Arabidopsis thaliana: one gene and its partners. The protein of the gene in region 1 interacts with the protein of each later gene in a pairwise test. Each region holds a gene or a part of one and is shown in the gene's direction. Other genes may lie near its edges.

The links. Proteins that work in one complex are often made in the same cells at the same time.
Region 2: the proteins of CO (region 1) and TGA4 interact in binary tests that used the Arabidopsis thaliana proteins (3 or more experiments, as listed by UniProt).
Region 3: the proteins of CO (region 1) and BBX32 interact in binary tests that used the Arabidopsis thaliana proteins (3 or more experiments, as listed by UniProt).

What each region holds. Positions count from the first base shown.
Region 1 is NC_003076.8:5,169,662-5,175,017, reverse strand, and holds CO (B-box type zinc finger protein with CCT domain-containing protein), read left to right. Parts: upstream 1-1,932; 5' UTR 1,933-2,320; coding exon 2,321-3,082; coding exon of another isoform or gene 3,083-3,223; exon of another isoform or gene 3,224-3,315; coding exon 3,316-3,675; coding exon of another isoform or gene 3,676-3,680; 3' UTR 3,681-3,969; coding exon of another isoform or gene 3,970-4,007; 3' UTR 4,008-4,114; coding exon of another isoform or gene 4,115-4,124; 3' UTR 4,125-4,856; downstream 4,857-5,356. Other genes in the region: AT5G15843 (uncharacterized protein), read right to left, coding at 2,636-2,789, 3,107-3,223, 3,322-3,680, 3,970-4,007, 4,115-4,124. UniProt on the Arabidopsis thaliana protein: Transcription factor that acts in the long day flowering pathway and may mediate between the circadian clock and the control of flowering.
Region 2 is NC_003076.8:3,138,264-3,146,081, reverse strand, and holds the start of TGA4 (TGACG motif-binding factor 4), read left to right. Parts: upstream 1-1,828; 5' UTR 1,829-1,870; exon of another isoform or gene 1,871-1,882; intron 1,883-1,924; exon of another isoform or gene 1,925-2,095; coding exon of another isoform or gene 2,096-2,359; intron 2,360-5,572; exon of another isoform or gene 5,573-6,743; 5' UTR 6,744-6,786; coding exon 6,787-6,945; intron 6,946-7,018; coding exon 7,019-7,099; intron 7,100-7,175; coding exon 7,176-7,235; intron 7,236-7,313; coding exon 7,314-7,391; intron 7,392-7,460; coding exon 7,461-7,524; intron 7,525-7,604; coding exon 7,605-7,818. Other genes in the region: AT5G10060 (ENTH/VHS family protein), read left to right, coding at 1-88; AT5G10050 (NAD(P)-binding Rossmann-fold superfamily protein), read right to left, coding at 439-778, 1,119-1,278, 1,489-1,828; AT5G10040 (uncharacterized protein), read right to left, coding at 2,096-2,359.
Region 3 is NC_003074.8:7,411,939-7,415,488, reverse strand, and holds BBX32 (B-box 32), read left to right. Parts: upstream 1-1,761; 5' UTR 1,762-2,098; coding exon 2,099-2,776; 3' UTR 2,777-3,044; downstream 3,045-3,550. Other genes in the region: MNS2 (alpha-mannosidase 2), read left to right, coding at 1-10, 205-313, 406-507, 643-723, 803-973, 1,109-1,360; AT3G21140 (Pyridoxamine 5'-phosphate oxidase family protein), read left to right, coding at 3,403-3,550.

The sequences.
Region 1 (5,356 bases):
GAGCCAATAGAATGTTACTATTTGGTGTGGATTCGAGCTAGCACGTGAAAGTGCATAAAAGTGATTACCTTTTGCCAAAGGTCACTGCACTTTTCCTCAGATAGTTTCTCACAGCCATGGAAAGTGGAGAATCCGCATAAACGTACAATTACAAGCTTTATATGGTCCCTCGACTCTTATTCTCTTCTCAGTCTTTGCAACTAAATAGGGTTTTCGTTAATCTGAAAGAAGCAAAGTATTCGAAACCACGGAAACCTGATAAAGAATGAAAACAAATAAGCAATAGTGTTTTCTTGAAAATCTCGATGCAACTTTGAGGATATTGTTACATATGATCTATTACTCGTAACAGTTATCCGAAGGCCTACACATGTGAGAGAAGTTCCAAACCGCTACAACAATAAACTTAATTAGAGACTGTCAACGAGCAATAATAAGCAAAACTACTTTTTTCTTGAGCTACAAGTGAAAAGGCCAATACACAATTTACTCTTCATGAACTCGAACCACGTTACAATCTCCAAAAAATTTCATCACCAAAGCACTAAAAGCCAAAGATGCCTCAACTTATCCAACTTGGCAGGATAAAGATCTCCAAAAATGCTTACTAAAGAACCTAGAATCTTTTCTTTAGAATTCAATGATCATATAACCATTTCATAACAATTCTAAATGCCATTACATTCATCGTAAAACCAGTAAATAACAAGAACTTGTATGTTAAGTTCCAATTACCAAGCAAAAAAAAACTTTTCAAAGTTTAAAGTTCAAAATGGGAAAGAGAAGTGCGGTGTAAGCAAATATGAAAGAGGAAGAGATGCGAAAAGTGTATCCTAGGACCAGCATTTTATACAAAAAAAAAACACTCACTTTTCAGCTCTTAAGGCATAGAGTGAAGGTAGCCATATGAATTTGGCCACTAGAGCGTCCGTCAAATCTCATTCTTTTTGGACCACATAATGGGTATCATACATTCACTGGACCCAAAAGCGTAACTGGAGCTAGTCCTCAAACCTAGAGAGTATCGTATCCTGTAGCTTCCACATAGTAAACATTATGAGCATAACACCAACAAGGCAACTCCAAGTACTAATGGTTATTAGTACAGGAAAACCCACGATGCTAAACACATGAATGGGTCACCAAATAGAGTGAAGATGGTTAAATTGCATCTATGGATCATGTGGACTAGTAAATGAGTGTAGCAGAAAACTTCACAATTACCTCTGTGATCTTAGAAACATGTCCTGAAAATTCCATACAAGTGTCGTTTGTATTAGATTACTTCCACAGGTTGAGATCTAATAAAGCTACAATAAATAGTATAGAGTATCATCATAAACCCAAATTACAGAGATGTGACAACACTCATGAGTCATGTTTTGTAACTACTTACTATAATGGTTACCAAGTGCAAATTTCTACATACTATATATGATAAATCTAATTATTGCTCATGTGGACTCCAAAATGCCTTTTAAGTTTTAACTTGTGCGTCAGGTAAATTCTAATTTGTAGTCTCAAGACTACTTGGCGGATTCGAGTTTGATCCTAGAAAATCCACCGTCTCTATGTTTTTCATGTCACTTTTCCGATATGATTCTCATTACCATGACTTTATGAACCAGATTAAACATTATAACACTTTTCATCAGAAAATCCTTCGAAAGTTTCAATTGCAAATCTTTCTAAATGATGCAGATGCATTCACAAATAATGGAACAACAACTATACCATATTCACGAGTTTGTCTAACCTTTGTATAGGTAGTCAACCCATAACAGTTGGTGATGGCTCTGACACTCGAAGCCTTACTCGGAGAGATACCTGAACAGTAATCACAAGGTTCAGGATGAATATTCAACCACTTAAACTTTGTATAAAGCCAAAGAGATAAAACGAATCTAGCTTTACTTTAAATAAAATGCATATGAAAATAGTAAAAGGTGATACGAAAAAATAGTAACAATTTGCCTGCAACACCATGGCATTATCCGGACCACTTCCTCTTGAGAATCTCAGTATGGCAAGTGGCAAAACCTAAGCAACTTGTGAACGGGTCCCAACGAAGAAGTGCATAGGAGGAGATGTTTACACTTTACACTTTACACTTTACACTTTACACATAGGCCTTCCCAAAAGCTCAACTAGCTGCAAGAGGATCCAATAACATGTAAGAGCCACTAACGCTGTGCCACGTGTAGGCACTCAGGATTCGATCTCCCCTCTACTTATTCTCTCACACCAGATATAAGCTTTATTAGCCCCTTCTTTCAGATACCAGCTCCCACACCATCAAACTTACTACATCTGAGTTATTATGTTGAAACAAGAGAGTAACGACATAGGTAGTGGAGAGAACAACAGGGCACGACCCTGTGACACATGCCGGTCAAACGCCTGCACCGTGTATTGCCATGCAGATTCTGCCTACTTGTGCATGAGCTGTGATGCTCAAGTTCACTCTGCCAATCGCGTTGCTTCCCGCCATAAACGTGTCCGGGTCTGCGAGTCATGTGAGCGTGCTCCGGCTGCTTTTTTGTGTGAGGCAGATGATGCCTCTCTATGCACAGCCTGTGATTCAGAGGTTCATTCTGCAAACCCACTTGCTAGACGCCATCAGCGAGTTCCAATTCTACCAATTTCTGGAAACTCTTTCAGCTCCATGACCACTACTCACCACCAAAGCGAGAAAACAATGACCGATCCAGAGAAGAGACTGGTGGTGGATCAAGAGGAAGGTGAAGAAGGTGATAAGGATGCCAAGGAGGTTGCTTCGTGGCTGTTCCCTAATTCAGACAAAAATAACAATAACCAAAACAATGGGTTATTGTTTAGTGATGAGTATCTAAACCTTGTGGATTACAACTCGAGTATGGACTACAAATTCACAGGTGAATACAGTCAACACCAACAAAACTGCAGCGTACCACAGACGAGCTACGGGGGAGATAGAGTTGTTCCGCTTAAACTTGAAGAATCAAGGGGCCACCAGTGCCATAACCAACAGAATTTTCAGTTCAATATCAAATATGGCTCCTCAGGGACTCACTACAACGACAATGGTTCCATTAACCATAACGTAAGGCTTTTGTATATTTGTTACCCCTTCAATTTAGCATCTTCCCATAACGCAGCAGGGTGAATTCTTTCATCATACACACAAATCCACTGATCCACTGCCAACAGTTGATCTATAGCACATAGAAATTTCACCAGAAGTCTATAATAAAAACAATATATGCTTCCTTTTGCATCGACTCTCTTTAGTCCTCTTACCAGGGGGATTGAGAATGTCTTTGTTTCTGTCATTAGGCATACATTTCATCCATGGAAACTGGTGTTGTGCCGGAGTCAACAGCATGTGTCACAACAGCTTCACACCCAAGAACGCCCAAAGGGACAGTAGAGCAACAACCTGACCCTGCAAGCCAGATGATAACAGTAACACAACTCAGTCCAATGGACAGAGAAGCCAGGGTCCTGAGATACAGAGAGAAGAGGAAGACAAGGAAATTTGAGAAGACAATAAGGTATGCTTCGAGGAAGGCATATGCAGAGATAAGACCGCGGGTCAATGGCCGGTTCGCAAAGAGAGAAATCGAAGCCGAGGAGCAAGGGTTCAACACGATGCTAATGTACAACACAGGATATGGGATTGTTCCTTCATTCTGATACTCCTGTGGCAAAAAGAAAAACTAGATTGCAAGCTGTAAATTACTTTTAGTTTGAGATTATGTTAGGTTTGGTGAAATTCTTAGCTTCAAGAAGTATTACTACTGTTGTGCAAATGGGTTTGTAGTTTTGGCTAATTAAAACTATAGTATTCTTCTTTCTCTGCATTAGTTAAACAAAACCAGTCTAATTGGTACAGATCCCCATTTGTGAAATATGGATCATCAAGAAGTGAAAACGCAGATTTCACCTTGCTAACTACTAAGAGGGAAGCCAAGGTTCAAAGCCAATAACTTCCCGATAACCTGAACATGTGACACTTTCACGCCTCCCTGACAACAAAAAGATTCTACAATTCAAGTTGATAACACAGACTCCTCAGCTGTAAATCACAACTTCTTACTAAAATGAGTCATATCACGTTCCTAATTGTAGAAACCATCAGCCATATATGTTCTCGGCTTCAAGAACTGTAAGAAGAAATAAGTAATAACAACCAAGTGTATAGCTTATACTATGTGTTAATGTTAAGTGATGGATTCGAGACCTCACGTGAAAAGTTCATAAAGTGATATAAGGATGCTGCACTTTGCACTTTTTTGCACTTTTCCAAAAATCTAAGGATAGTTCAGATCGATTCTCAAAGCCATCAAATTTTAAAACCATTCCCAAACTTTACATGGTCCCTGGGCCTTCATAGATTCTCACTCTTTTAACTTCTTGCTTACAAAAAAAAAACCATTCTCCTTAATCTGAAGTAGGAAAAAGTCTGCAACTACAGCATGAGTTTGACAGAAAAATTATAACACTCTGCTTTCTAAGGTTCTTATCTTGCTTCAATGACCATATACTAAAATAGCAATTTCCTCCACATAATCCACAAAAAACTTTGGTGTCATGTGAAGAAGGCCTGAGAGTAGTTCCTAACTAACCAATAACCATTACAAAGGAAATCCACAGACTGACTAAGAAGAAGTAAAGACAGAACAAATGAAAAATGCCAAAACAGAACAACACAAGCACAGCTATATCTGAACACGCCTTAAAACACCATTTAATATATAATCATCTCTATACTTACCAGAGAGTCAGAAACCAGTATAAACCCTAACATTTATACAAATCGGAATCAGTCACCATCAAAATATAAACCCTAACATTCATTCAAACTGATTTTCGATAAAGAAACTTACTTTCAACCCGTCACAATAGATTTGGGATGATTTTGGATAAATTTGAGGAAAAATATGCGAAATTCAATAGATTGAATATGCAAGGGTTTAAGGATGTGAAATTCAATAGATTGAAAAAACACAATTTTTTGCTCAATTAGATCCAAATTCATCCCAGATCGATTTTGTCTGACGAGCTGAGATTAAAGGAGTTTACCAGAAAACCCCAAATCGGGATTGTGAAGTGAAAAGCCCTAAATTTTGAGCGACGATCGATCATCAAACTTCGAAATATTCAACAATGACGCACGCAACTGGTCTTGTCTAATACTAACGGGCTGGGCCAAAGGATCTGATATAAGGCCCAATTATTCTTGCGCGATAAACTTCTGTTTCAGGGGACGGCCCAAGTAGTCTTCCGAACTAAGCTTATCTTCTTTCAGGAAGTTTCCTTTTTTGTTGTTGCATGATCATTTTCTATCTTTATCTTATCAAAAGATAATAATCTT
Region 2 (7,818 bases), 2.0 Mb from region 1:
TCAGTCGAACTCAGCTCAGCAATCTCAACAAGGTCCAACTTTCCAGCCACCAGGGATAATGTATTACGGAGCTCCACACCATTCTTAAAATAGAAATGATGTTAGTTAATAGCTTTAGATAGTTCTGACCCTTTTTATCTGCTCGAATGCGGTTTCGATGTTACATTGTTGGGTCAAATCAAAGTAGAACTACTGTTCCTCTGGTTGTAGAATCCTCACCTTTTCCCGTTACAGATATTTGTACCACAAGTTTCTACAACATAATGTAATAATTTCTCCTGTTCACTCTCTATCTCCTTCCTGTATGTATGTATACTTCTATACCTTAAGAACCGAACTGACTCAAACATGGAGACATAAGAGATTCAATTAACAATTTGAACAAAGCTTTTACATTCGTGTTTAAGGTACATTCTGTCTTAAACCCCAACCTGATTATCACTTCTTCATTAAAACCTGCTTCTGGAAAAAATCTTTGAGCCATAAGGGCATATGATACATGACTGCCATGAGGGTTGAATACCTGCCTGACGAGAACCAAGCGGGTGGATTCTTCTTCAGCACTGCGGCTACAGTGTCTCTGGCAAATGTTTCTGCAGGAGTTGGATTCATCCTCTGTGATATAAACGCCCTTTCTCTGATAGCTTCTTCATAAGGCTTGTATAGTTTCAGCTCAGGCATTTTGTTGAAAGTTGCCACAGCTGAGTTTGCTATGTTTGTTCTTATTCCTCCCGGGACAACATTGATGACATCAATCCCAAACGGACGAAGCTCCAACCTGACGTTAAGCAGGAAACATTACAAAACAATTGACAAACCAAAACCATCCGGTGCTGGATAATTTGAACAACTACACTTGTCATGAACATCAAGAATCATCAACCTAACCCAACATCAGACTTTAGTCCTCAGAAATAATGATACTCAAGTTTGATCACACCTTAAAAAAAGATTAGACCATTTCAACAATTTTTAGTTTACTACCATCAAATCTCCATTGACAGAACAAACAGAATATATATCAGCATGCGACATAGGAAGATTATTCAAACGACACAAATAGCGGCGTTTGATAAGTTAAAACAGTGGAACCAAATCTGAAAACGGTAAAAGCAAACCTCAGAGTATCGGTAAGAGCATGAATAGCAGCTTTGGTAGCTGTATAGACACCAGCCCATGGACCAGGTGCCATAACAGTGATACTTCCAACGTTGACAATCTTTCCCTTTTTCTTAGACACCATGTGTGGTACAACAGCTTGAGTCATCCTCATGGAACCTGCATTGAAAAATTCACTTCTTCAAAACTCTCCTAACAGCCCAAACGCAACACACATGATCAACACGTATTTGAGTTCCTTGAATGTCCACAGAATCAACATTTGAAATGGATTGTAAATTCCAATGATTCACTAATAAGCAAAAAAACCAGAACTGTTGAAGCTCCAATAAATGTAATAATTGAAACTAAAAATCAAATCTTTATTACCAAAAACATTGGTGTTGAATGTGTTTTCCATGGCGGAAATTGGAGTCTCCGCCAGAGGTCCAACGCACTGAACTCCGGCGTTATTAACAAGAACGTCGATCTTACCGAACTTATCAATAACCTCCGACAAAACCTTACTCACATTCTGGTCCGATTGCACATCAAGCTCCTTCACGAATAACCTCGAATCTTGCTCCAGATCCGTCATCGTACTCCGTGATCGACTCGTCGCCACCACTCGACATCCCTTCTCAGTGAACTCACGGGCCAGCGCGTGACCAATTCCTCCCTGAGAACATCCCGTAATTAGAACCACCGGACTCTCATCGCCACTCTCCATTTTAGAGTTCCGTGGAACAACAACAATGGAATTTTTTTTTTTGTGCAAACCAACAAATTTCAGAGATTAATTAATGCATCGGATTAGGCTTAATTACTACGATGATTTGTTTTTTCTTACTACGACACCGTTTCCATTAACTTACAAGAAACTGTACTTAAAAACTAACCCAAAAGAGTATAAAACCAAAGCTTGTAGAACTCGAAACTTAAAGCAACATGCCCTCTGGTGATTAGAGAAGCAAATGAAAGTAACATCATGCCTAAACTAGATTTCCAGCATGAGGTTCAAACGTGACTTATAGTACAAGGATGAAACATAGTTAAGCAGAAAAAAGCCACTAGAAACCGCCACAGCAAACTGAGATTTAGCTTCAAATTTCCTCATCAGACTTTCAATCTTCTTCTCCTCAATCCCAAACATCATCAACCACCCAACCTCCGCTGTATTCGATGCTTTCTCTGCCGTTGTATTCACCTTTTGGTTACATTCATCTGCCACTAATATTGCTATGTCCGCCGATGAATCCATTGTTGGATCTTCCTATATCAGTTGTCTGTCTCCAATTCTATGCCAAAGATACACGAAGCTATTTATACTGGCTTCAGTGTGCGGGTTTTGAATGAGGAATGTTCCACTTTCTTTTTATGTTAATCATATCACATTACTTTCTATTGGCTTTGATGGTTTCTTTAAAGAGAAAATTGGCTAGGTTGGTTTATTGATACCGTGTGTGCACCAATACTTGTTTTAGTTACAGACAATGGTTTTAAAAACCTCGATTAGTCGGCATTGTCCAAATAATATTATACTTTTTGTGAAATCATTTTATTCCTCATTATCGAAACCCAAATCTGTTCAAAACACTTTATTGGGCCATAAATTATTATTTCTCAATCTTATGTTACAAGCCCAATTTTATATAAACTTACTTACAGCCCATTTCTCGACATTTTCAGTTTTTGACAAAAAAACTTTTTGGTTTCAAATTAAATCTTTCTTCTCTTTGTGGGCTTTCAAAACTGATGGGGATGCTCTTACAACTCATGATTTTTTGTTTCGGGGGATCAGGAAATGATAGGTCTCGTTCCACGACGATTTTAATAATCTTCTTTTAGATTATCTATCTTTTACTTCAACCAAAATTACTATTAGACGAAAGATGTTGACCAGAATACGTATTTTATTTTTGATAAATATTCAGCTTTTATATAATATAGTAGAAGAAAAGAGTAAAGTAAAAGAAGAAGATAAAATGTAGTCAAAGGTAGGAACCAAAAGGAAAGAGAAGAAAAGGAAGTTAATCTTAACATGATGATAGTTCCCATTTTGTCTTGGGGATAATGTCGCAAAGACTTCCTCAATTTTCTTACTTTCTTCCTATTTTACGTTCTTTTTCTTTTGTTTCTAGAAAGACATATATCTTTATTTGATATATTATATTCATATGAAATTTAGAAAGAATGTAAGATATATATATATATATATATATAATGAGTATTTAGAAAGTAAGTTACTTCGATTAATTAATCAACTTGGCTATAAAAACTATTATGAGTCAAATGTACATATGAACAATCTACTCAATTGGCTACTTCACAAATCTATCTATTTGTTTCAAGAAAATCCTTGCAATGAAATTCATCGAATAAAAACATCATACCTTTACACCTATTTAGTGGATAAGTGTGATCTACTTCTACAGTTGCACTGCCTTCTTTTGTTCCTTTTCACGTCAAACACACTCACATTTGAGCATACATAAATAGAAACAACAATATCTCTAAAACATTACTTAAAAAACTTTCAAGTTTGCTTCGATTTACCTGGCATTCGTATCCTTTTTATCCCTTCGTCCAAAACATTTTTCCAAATGTCGAGTGGCTCGGGACCAAATCCCAAAACATTTTGTCATTCTTAACTTTTCAAATAATCTAAAAAGTTTTATGGGAAATTAAGGATTATCCGCCAACTACGGATTGTCTTGACTAGGTTCTTCCATATTATATAGTCAAAATTCGGAAAAAATCAAGCTTTTTCGAAAGATTTCCGGTGCCGAAAAAACAGTTGATAATTAAAGTCCATGTTTGTAAATTCGAATGACATTAAAAATGTATAACTTATCGTCTCAGCTTTTGCTTCAAAATGGGAACAATATTGAACCACACTACATTTAACTGGGTGTTAACACGCCAACATAAATCACTTTCATATAAAATGTTTTATCTTTGGTGTACTATTTATCGTTCACGAATGATTGGCTCTACGTTCAGGCACTCAATCATATATAGAATCCTTTCTATAATATTTTATAAATTAAACAAAACTAAAAGATAATATCTTTTAGAATGTAGAAGTCGAGTTAAATATTACAGGGTTCGTGAAAACTCAAAGATTGAATTCAAGACATGAATATTGTTAGCCAAAAATACAAATGAAAAAAGAAGAGTGACGACACCCACTCTTAGTGGCAAACCACTTTTTTTTAATAAGATAGCACTTGGGAAGAATTCCACAAATAGGTAAAAGCAAAGAGTTTGTGCGTCATGTCTCATTAATATCTTTTCGAATTTATTTATTTTCATTGTTAATGTTTTTTGTATTCTAATACTGTTAATACATTATTCATATTTTGAAAAAATTGTGTCGACATAGGACTCTTCCCTCAATGACGTCTTCATTCATAGCCTTCTTTCTTTTGTTTGCTAAATGACTTCACTCACAGCCCTTAATCATATGGAAAAGAAAAAATTATGTGTGAATATGTCAGGAAACTAATTACTGCCAGGCAAACAATGTAATACGTGAACAAGAATAATATACGTATGAATGTATGATAACATACTAAAGGAAAAGGGAAAGTTGGTTAGATACTGTTTACACGGAAAAATGCACCAAATCACATAAATTAGTTAGTATTCGTTGTGTTTAAAATAATTAGTAAAGAGGCAAGTGGATAGAAGTTGTGGTCACCCAACACAAATATGTCTCCGACTCCAATGCAAGTTGAAGAGCCAATCTGTTCTAAATCAAAAATAATTCAATATTTCTTTATCAGCTAAGTGATTCCTTCGCAAAGGTTCGTTTATCTTTTTCAGTATATAAATATTATCAAATAGTACAACAAGACGTATATGTGAATCTTTTTCGTTGGCATAACCTGGATATAAACTATACCTAAATGCAGGCCTGCCTAAATGTTGATATAATTTTATTATATAAGCGTTGCTTAGTAAGTTGAAAACTTTAAAGATTACATGCTTATCGGTCTCTTGTTTTGCTTATAGAGAAACCTCAATATTATTGTTCTCTTATATATATTGGGTAATCTTAACCCAATATTTGGTCAGCATGCTATAGAACTATCAAAACTAATGACTACGCGCATCTTATTTTTTTATTTTGACGTCAGGCTTGCGATTATGTCAAGTACTTTGTTTTGATTGATGTCTTATAAATCCCAACATAGAAGTTAGAAAGTTTAACCGCTTCTCTCATTCCCGCGACAAATCTTACCACAATAATATGATTTAGTAATTTACCCTCTTCCCACGCGCTACTAAGCCGCGCGTGTGCCGTCAATTGGCACGTCATCACCGACGAGACTCGCCGCAAACTTTGACGTGTGATGGATAATAAATATATCGTTGGAAAACTTAAAAGAGTATGAATTATTATTACTGAATAATTTTCCAATATACTTGGTGTGTAACATCAGCGAGGTAGTGGAGACATGACAAATGAGAGAAATACAGAATAACCAGAAACAAAATTAAATTAGTAATCGAATAAATTATGGACTTAAAGGTATCTTAAACATGTCAAAATTTGGTTTTTGACTGTGTAGCTGATGTATCTAGTACATATACTTAAAGGACAAATATCACCGAAGAATCAACAAACCAAAAAAAAAAACAGAAATAAATGTTAGTATATATATTTTTATTGACATTTATTAGGATATAGAAAAATTTAGAAAACTCAATCAAAGGTCTCTCTTTTAAAGTTGTCGTGTTCTCTCTTGAATGATTCTTCTTCTCCTTCTTCGAGATGACAAGTTCAGAGAACGAGATTTTACCATCCCTTATTCTATCAGACCGGTTTAAGCTGCAGATTTCTAGGCTTAGCGTTCGATTTCGTCGCTGAAAGTGAAAAGTTCATCTAGCTTTAGTTTTCTCTTTTCATGGTTTCCGCGGGAAAAGTTCGTCTTTTTTGAAGCCCTTTTGACACAAAAGACCAGAACAAGGTTCGACTTCGGATCTCTCTTCTTTCTGAATTTTCATCTCTTGGTTGATATGAATATCATTATCTCTGCTTGACTGCAAAAAAAGGTTCAAACTTTGTGTTTCTCTGTTTCATTCTCTTATTGAAGCTGTAACTTTTATTCTGATGGTTGCTTCTGATATACCATTTCATGATTTGCTATGTGATAATTTGGTTCTATATCTTATAATCGAATCTTGACTTTTATAACAAGAATGTTATATCAAATCACTGGGTGAGAGTAATGGATTTTTTTTCCTTATTGGGAGGTGTTTAAGATGGTCCACCATTAGTGGCTAAAAGAAGAAGATACAGTAGGAACCAATAACTGACAATGACATTAGAGTTTGGTCTGTTTTTGGAAATGCAATTAGAGGTTTTGAGAACAAAATTCAGTGACTTGTATCTATTTGACAACCTTTCAAAAGACACTAGTAAAAGAACAGGGCTTTTCGGGTGTATATGATGACTCCGATGTTTCGCCATATCAATGGAGCTTATAGATGTAGGGAAGGTAGTAGCTAGCGTTGACGAATTGGGTGATGGATAATGACTTAATGTCACAACCTTTGCTTTTGGCTGCAAATCACTTACATATCTCTTTAACTTGTGATCTTGTATCTTTTGCAATTCTTGACTTTGATGAATGAAGTTTTGTATTTTTTTTTTTTTGTTTTGTTGCTAGTTGAAGAAATATGAATACAACCTCGACACATTTTGTTCCACCGAGAAGGTTTGAAGTTTACGAGCCTCTCAACCAAATCGGTATGTGGGAAGAAAGTTTCAAGAACAATGGAGACATGTATACGCCTGGCTCTATCATAATCCCGACTAACGAAAAACCAGACAGCTTGGTACTTCAAAGTTTGCTATATATTTCAGATAAAGTGAATTCAGAAACTAATGCTTGCTTTAATCTTTGTTCAGTCAGAGGATACTTCTCATGGGACAGAAGGAACTCCTCACAAGTTTGACCAAGAGGCTTCCACATCTAGACATCCTGATAAGGTAAGTTATAATATAGCTCATTTGGTTATCTTAATTCCTTGAAGATTTTGTCATTTTAATCTTTATGTCTTCACAGATACAGAGAAGGCTAGCACAGAATCGAGAGGCAGCTAGGAAAAGTCGTTTGCGCAAGAAAGTATGAAACTTTATGTTCCTGCAACTCGTAAAACAGTTTTGTTTTCTTTAAACTGAGCTATAGAGTATTTTCTTGCAGGCTTATGTTCAGCAGCTAGAGACTAGCCGGTTAAAGCTAATTCATTTAGAGCAAGAACTCGATCGTGCTAGACAACAGGTTTGCACAAAATATTATTCTTCCTTAAGTATCTTGTTGATGTAATAATATATGATCATAATGTTGCAGGGTTTCTATGTGGGGAACGGAGTAGATACCAATGCTCTTAGTTTCTCAGATAACATGAGCTCAGGTTTGAGTCTTCTTTCACCTTTAGCGTTTAGGTAGTTTCCATTTGATTTTGAGATTCATCAGTTTTCTTTTTCTTGTTAGGGATTGTTGCATTTGAGATGGAATATGGACATTGGGTGGAAGAACAGAACAGGCAAATATGTGAACTAAGAACGGTTTTACATGGACAAGTTAGTGATATAGAGCTTCGTTCTCTAGTCGAGAATGCCATGAAACATTACTTTCAACTCTTCCGAATGAAGTCAGCCGCTGCAAAAATCGATGTTTTCTATGTCATGTCCGGAATGTGGAAAAC
Region 3 (3,550 bases), on another chromosome or scaffold:
AACACTATAGGTAAGTTTAACTCTAGTCTACTGAGTGTATATATGTCTGATTGATTCAAGTCCGCTAAGTTCAACCAGCTGCCATCACATTTATCTTTCTGCTTGATATCTATGTTCTTCTTTTCTTTTCTGGTCTTTTAGTTTCAACATCTTTAGCCGAACAATAATAATTTGTACTGTTATTACTTGACATCTTGGCATCAGAGATATGTGGGAGAAGTCAATGAATGGTCTGCTAAGCTTGGTTAAGAAATCAACACCTTTGTCGTTTACATATATCTGTGAGAAGAGTGGAAATTCTTTGATCGATAAGGTAAACCCATCTGTTCATTGTTTCCATTGTATTACGTGAAAATTCTTCATCGCCTGGCATTTCCAATCTCATTATTTCTCATATATATTAAGATGGATGAATTGGCATGCTTTGCTCCTGGAATGTTGGCTTTAGGAGCATCTGGGTATAGTGATCCTGCTGAAGGAAAGAAGTTTCTCACACTCGCTGAAGAGGTAAACTTATGACTTGAATGATCTTTGATCATAGCGTCGTAAGTGCTTCAGATCTTTCGAATTTTTCGCTCTCTGCTTTTCTGATTTAGGCTGCTGAGATATAGCCTTTATTGCTATTTTCCACATATTTTGCAGCTTGCGTGGACATGTTATAACTTTTACCAATCAACTCCAACAAAACTGGCTGGGGAGAATTATTTCTTCAACTCTGGGAGTGTATGTCATTTGCCTGTCTTTTTCAAACACATTGTTTATTTTATGCGTTATTTATTGTTTAGTATACATGATGATTCAGGACATGAGTGTTGGAACGTCGTGGAACATCTTGAGACCAGAAACTGTCGAATCACTGTTTTACCTCTGGCGGTTAACTGGAAACAAGACATATCAAGAGTGGGGATGGAATATATTTGAAGCATTTGAGAAGAACTCGCGCATAGAGTCTGGATATGTTGGTTTGAAGGATGTAAGTTTTCCGTAGGCGCTTAATTAGATCCTGCATTGTTAAAACCTTGGTGAATTGAATTATATCATTCCACCATCTATATTAGTAATTGAGTGTAACTGATGGTAGATTCTTATTTCTTTCAATCATTTCCAGGTTAATACAGGCGTTAAGGACAACAAGATGCAAAGTTTCTTCCTTGCAGAGACACTCAAGTATCTCTATCTACTCTTCTCGCCGACAACAGTCATTCCTTTAGACGAGTGGGTATTCAACACCGAAGCTCATCCACTTAAGATTAAGTCTCGAAACGATCAGGTAAATCTCAAACAATCCAACAAAGTACTGCTACGAAAACCGGCATTTAGAATACGCCAGAGGCATTATGGTCGGATAACAAAGAAGTAAAACTCCCTGGAGAGGTCACAGTGTGATTCGTAGGAGGGGCTCTATGGATATATCTTAACAGAGCAATTGGATTTAGCTTGGCTATTCAAAGACCCTTTTATTTAAGAAACCATTTTTGGAAAGATTTCAAGATATAGACTATTGTTGTACTAGTTGGGATCAGAACCCAAACAGGTTCACCACAGTTTACACCTTGTGTTTTGTATCCTTACTCCTTAGATTATAAATTAAGAGTATTATCTTCTGTTTTGTATTCGACAAAAGATCAATGTATAAAAGTTTATATAAAAGACTGCAACAATGCAGAAGAAATGTAATGGAAGCAACCAAGAAAAGAAGAAGAAGCAATTTGCAATGAGACCAAGTCTCTGAAAAGACATTAGTGTTGACTAAATCTCCACGTCACACCAAAAGGAAGACGAATGACTTGGCGGCTAGTGTAATAGTTTTAAAAATGACCACATAATCTCACCAGCCTCAAAACCTCACGACACGTCATTCTCTCCAATTCTACAAACACCATTCATTTCATTTCCCTAAAAAATTATGGCTCATGTAAGTTTCTTTGATGTGTGAACTGTGGAAGAGACTACTCTCATCAACCATGAACCATAAAAACTCCACCGCTCTTTCTCTCCCTCAATCATTTACATCTCTTCCTTAAATCTCTCTTCCCACCATCATCATTCCAAACCAATTCTCTCTCACTTCTTTCTGGTGATCAGAGAGATCGACTCAATGGTGAGCTTTTGCGAGCTTTGTGGTGCCGAAGCTGATCTCCATTGTGCCGCGGACTCTGCCTTCCTCTGCCGTTCTTGTGACGCTAAGTTCCATGCCTCAAATTTTCTCTTCGCTCGTCATTTCCGGCGTGTCATCTGCCCAAATTGCAAATCTCTTACTCAAAATTTCGTTTCTGGTCCTCTTCTTCCTTGGCCTCCACGAACAACATGTTGTTCAGAATCGTCGTCTTCTTCTTGCTGCTCGTCTCTTGACTGTGTCTCAAGCTCCGAGCTATCGTCAACGACGCGTGACGTAAACAGAGCGCGAGGGAGGGAAAACAGAGTGAATGCCAAGGCCGTTGCGGTTACGGTGGCGGATGGCATTTTTGTAAATTGGTGTGGTAAGTTAGGACTAAACAGGGATTTAACAAACGCTGTCGTTTCATATGCGTCTTTGGCTTTGGCTGTGGAGACGAGGCCAAGAGCGACGAAGAGAGTGTTCTTAGCGGCGGCGTTTTGGTTCGGCGTTAAGAACACGACGACGTGGCAGAATTTAAAGAAAGTAGAAGATGTGACTGGAGTTTCAGCTGGGATGATTCGAGCGGTTGAAAGCAAATTGGCGCGTGCAATGACGCAGCAGCTTAGACGGTGGCGCGTGGATTCGGAGGAAGGATGGGCTGAAAACGACAACGTTTGAGAAATATTATTGACATGGGTCCCGCATTATGCAAATTAGGACATTTAGTGTTTAGTGCCTTAATTATAGTTTGTGTCATTGATCTGTTTGATCTTTCTTTTCAACGTAAACTAAAAATGGTCTGAACCAATTGAGATGATAGATATTTCTTTAGAGGAGATTTAATTTTTTTAATCAACAGTAAGAAGATTTTAGAAACGGAATAATGGTAATCCAATAGTCATTATCAGGTTCTTTTGAGATGAAATTGAAATCTTTTCTTTCCCAATTTTTTTAAACAAAGATAATTTCTTAGAATATTATGTTATTATCAATAAAAATTGTAAATTGAAAAGAAACTGATTTTCTTATTTCAAGGAAAATTCGTTATTATCAACATCAAAACAAAACAAAAGAGAATAGAAAATACATCAAAAGTAATTCCTAAGGACAAAAGTAATCGTAATCCAACTATAAAAAAAAAGCCAAAAGAAAAAGAAAAACCCTTATATGTATGTGTGTGTTATACAAACCCTACTCTGGAAAAGTCCTAATTCCTAAAGCTACTTTCAACAAAGACGCCTGAAGCATCTGCCTATAGTGAAAGATCAGAAGACTCTTCAACCAAAATCTTATTCTCATCCACCATGGAAGCTCTCTTCACTTCAACACACACACCCAATTTACAGACTAAGCCTCTCCTCAAATCTCCGCTGCCCACTTCTTCCCAGTCTTCGTGTTGGTTTTGTAATTCGCTACCCAAAACGCAATTCCCGAAGCTGAGACTCAGTAATG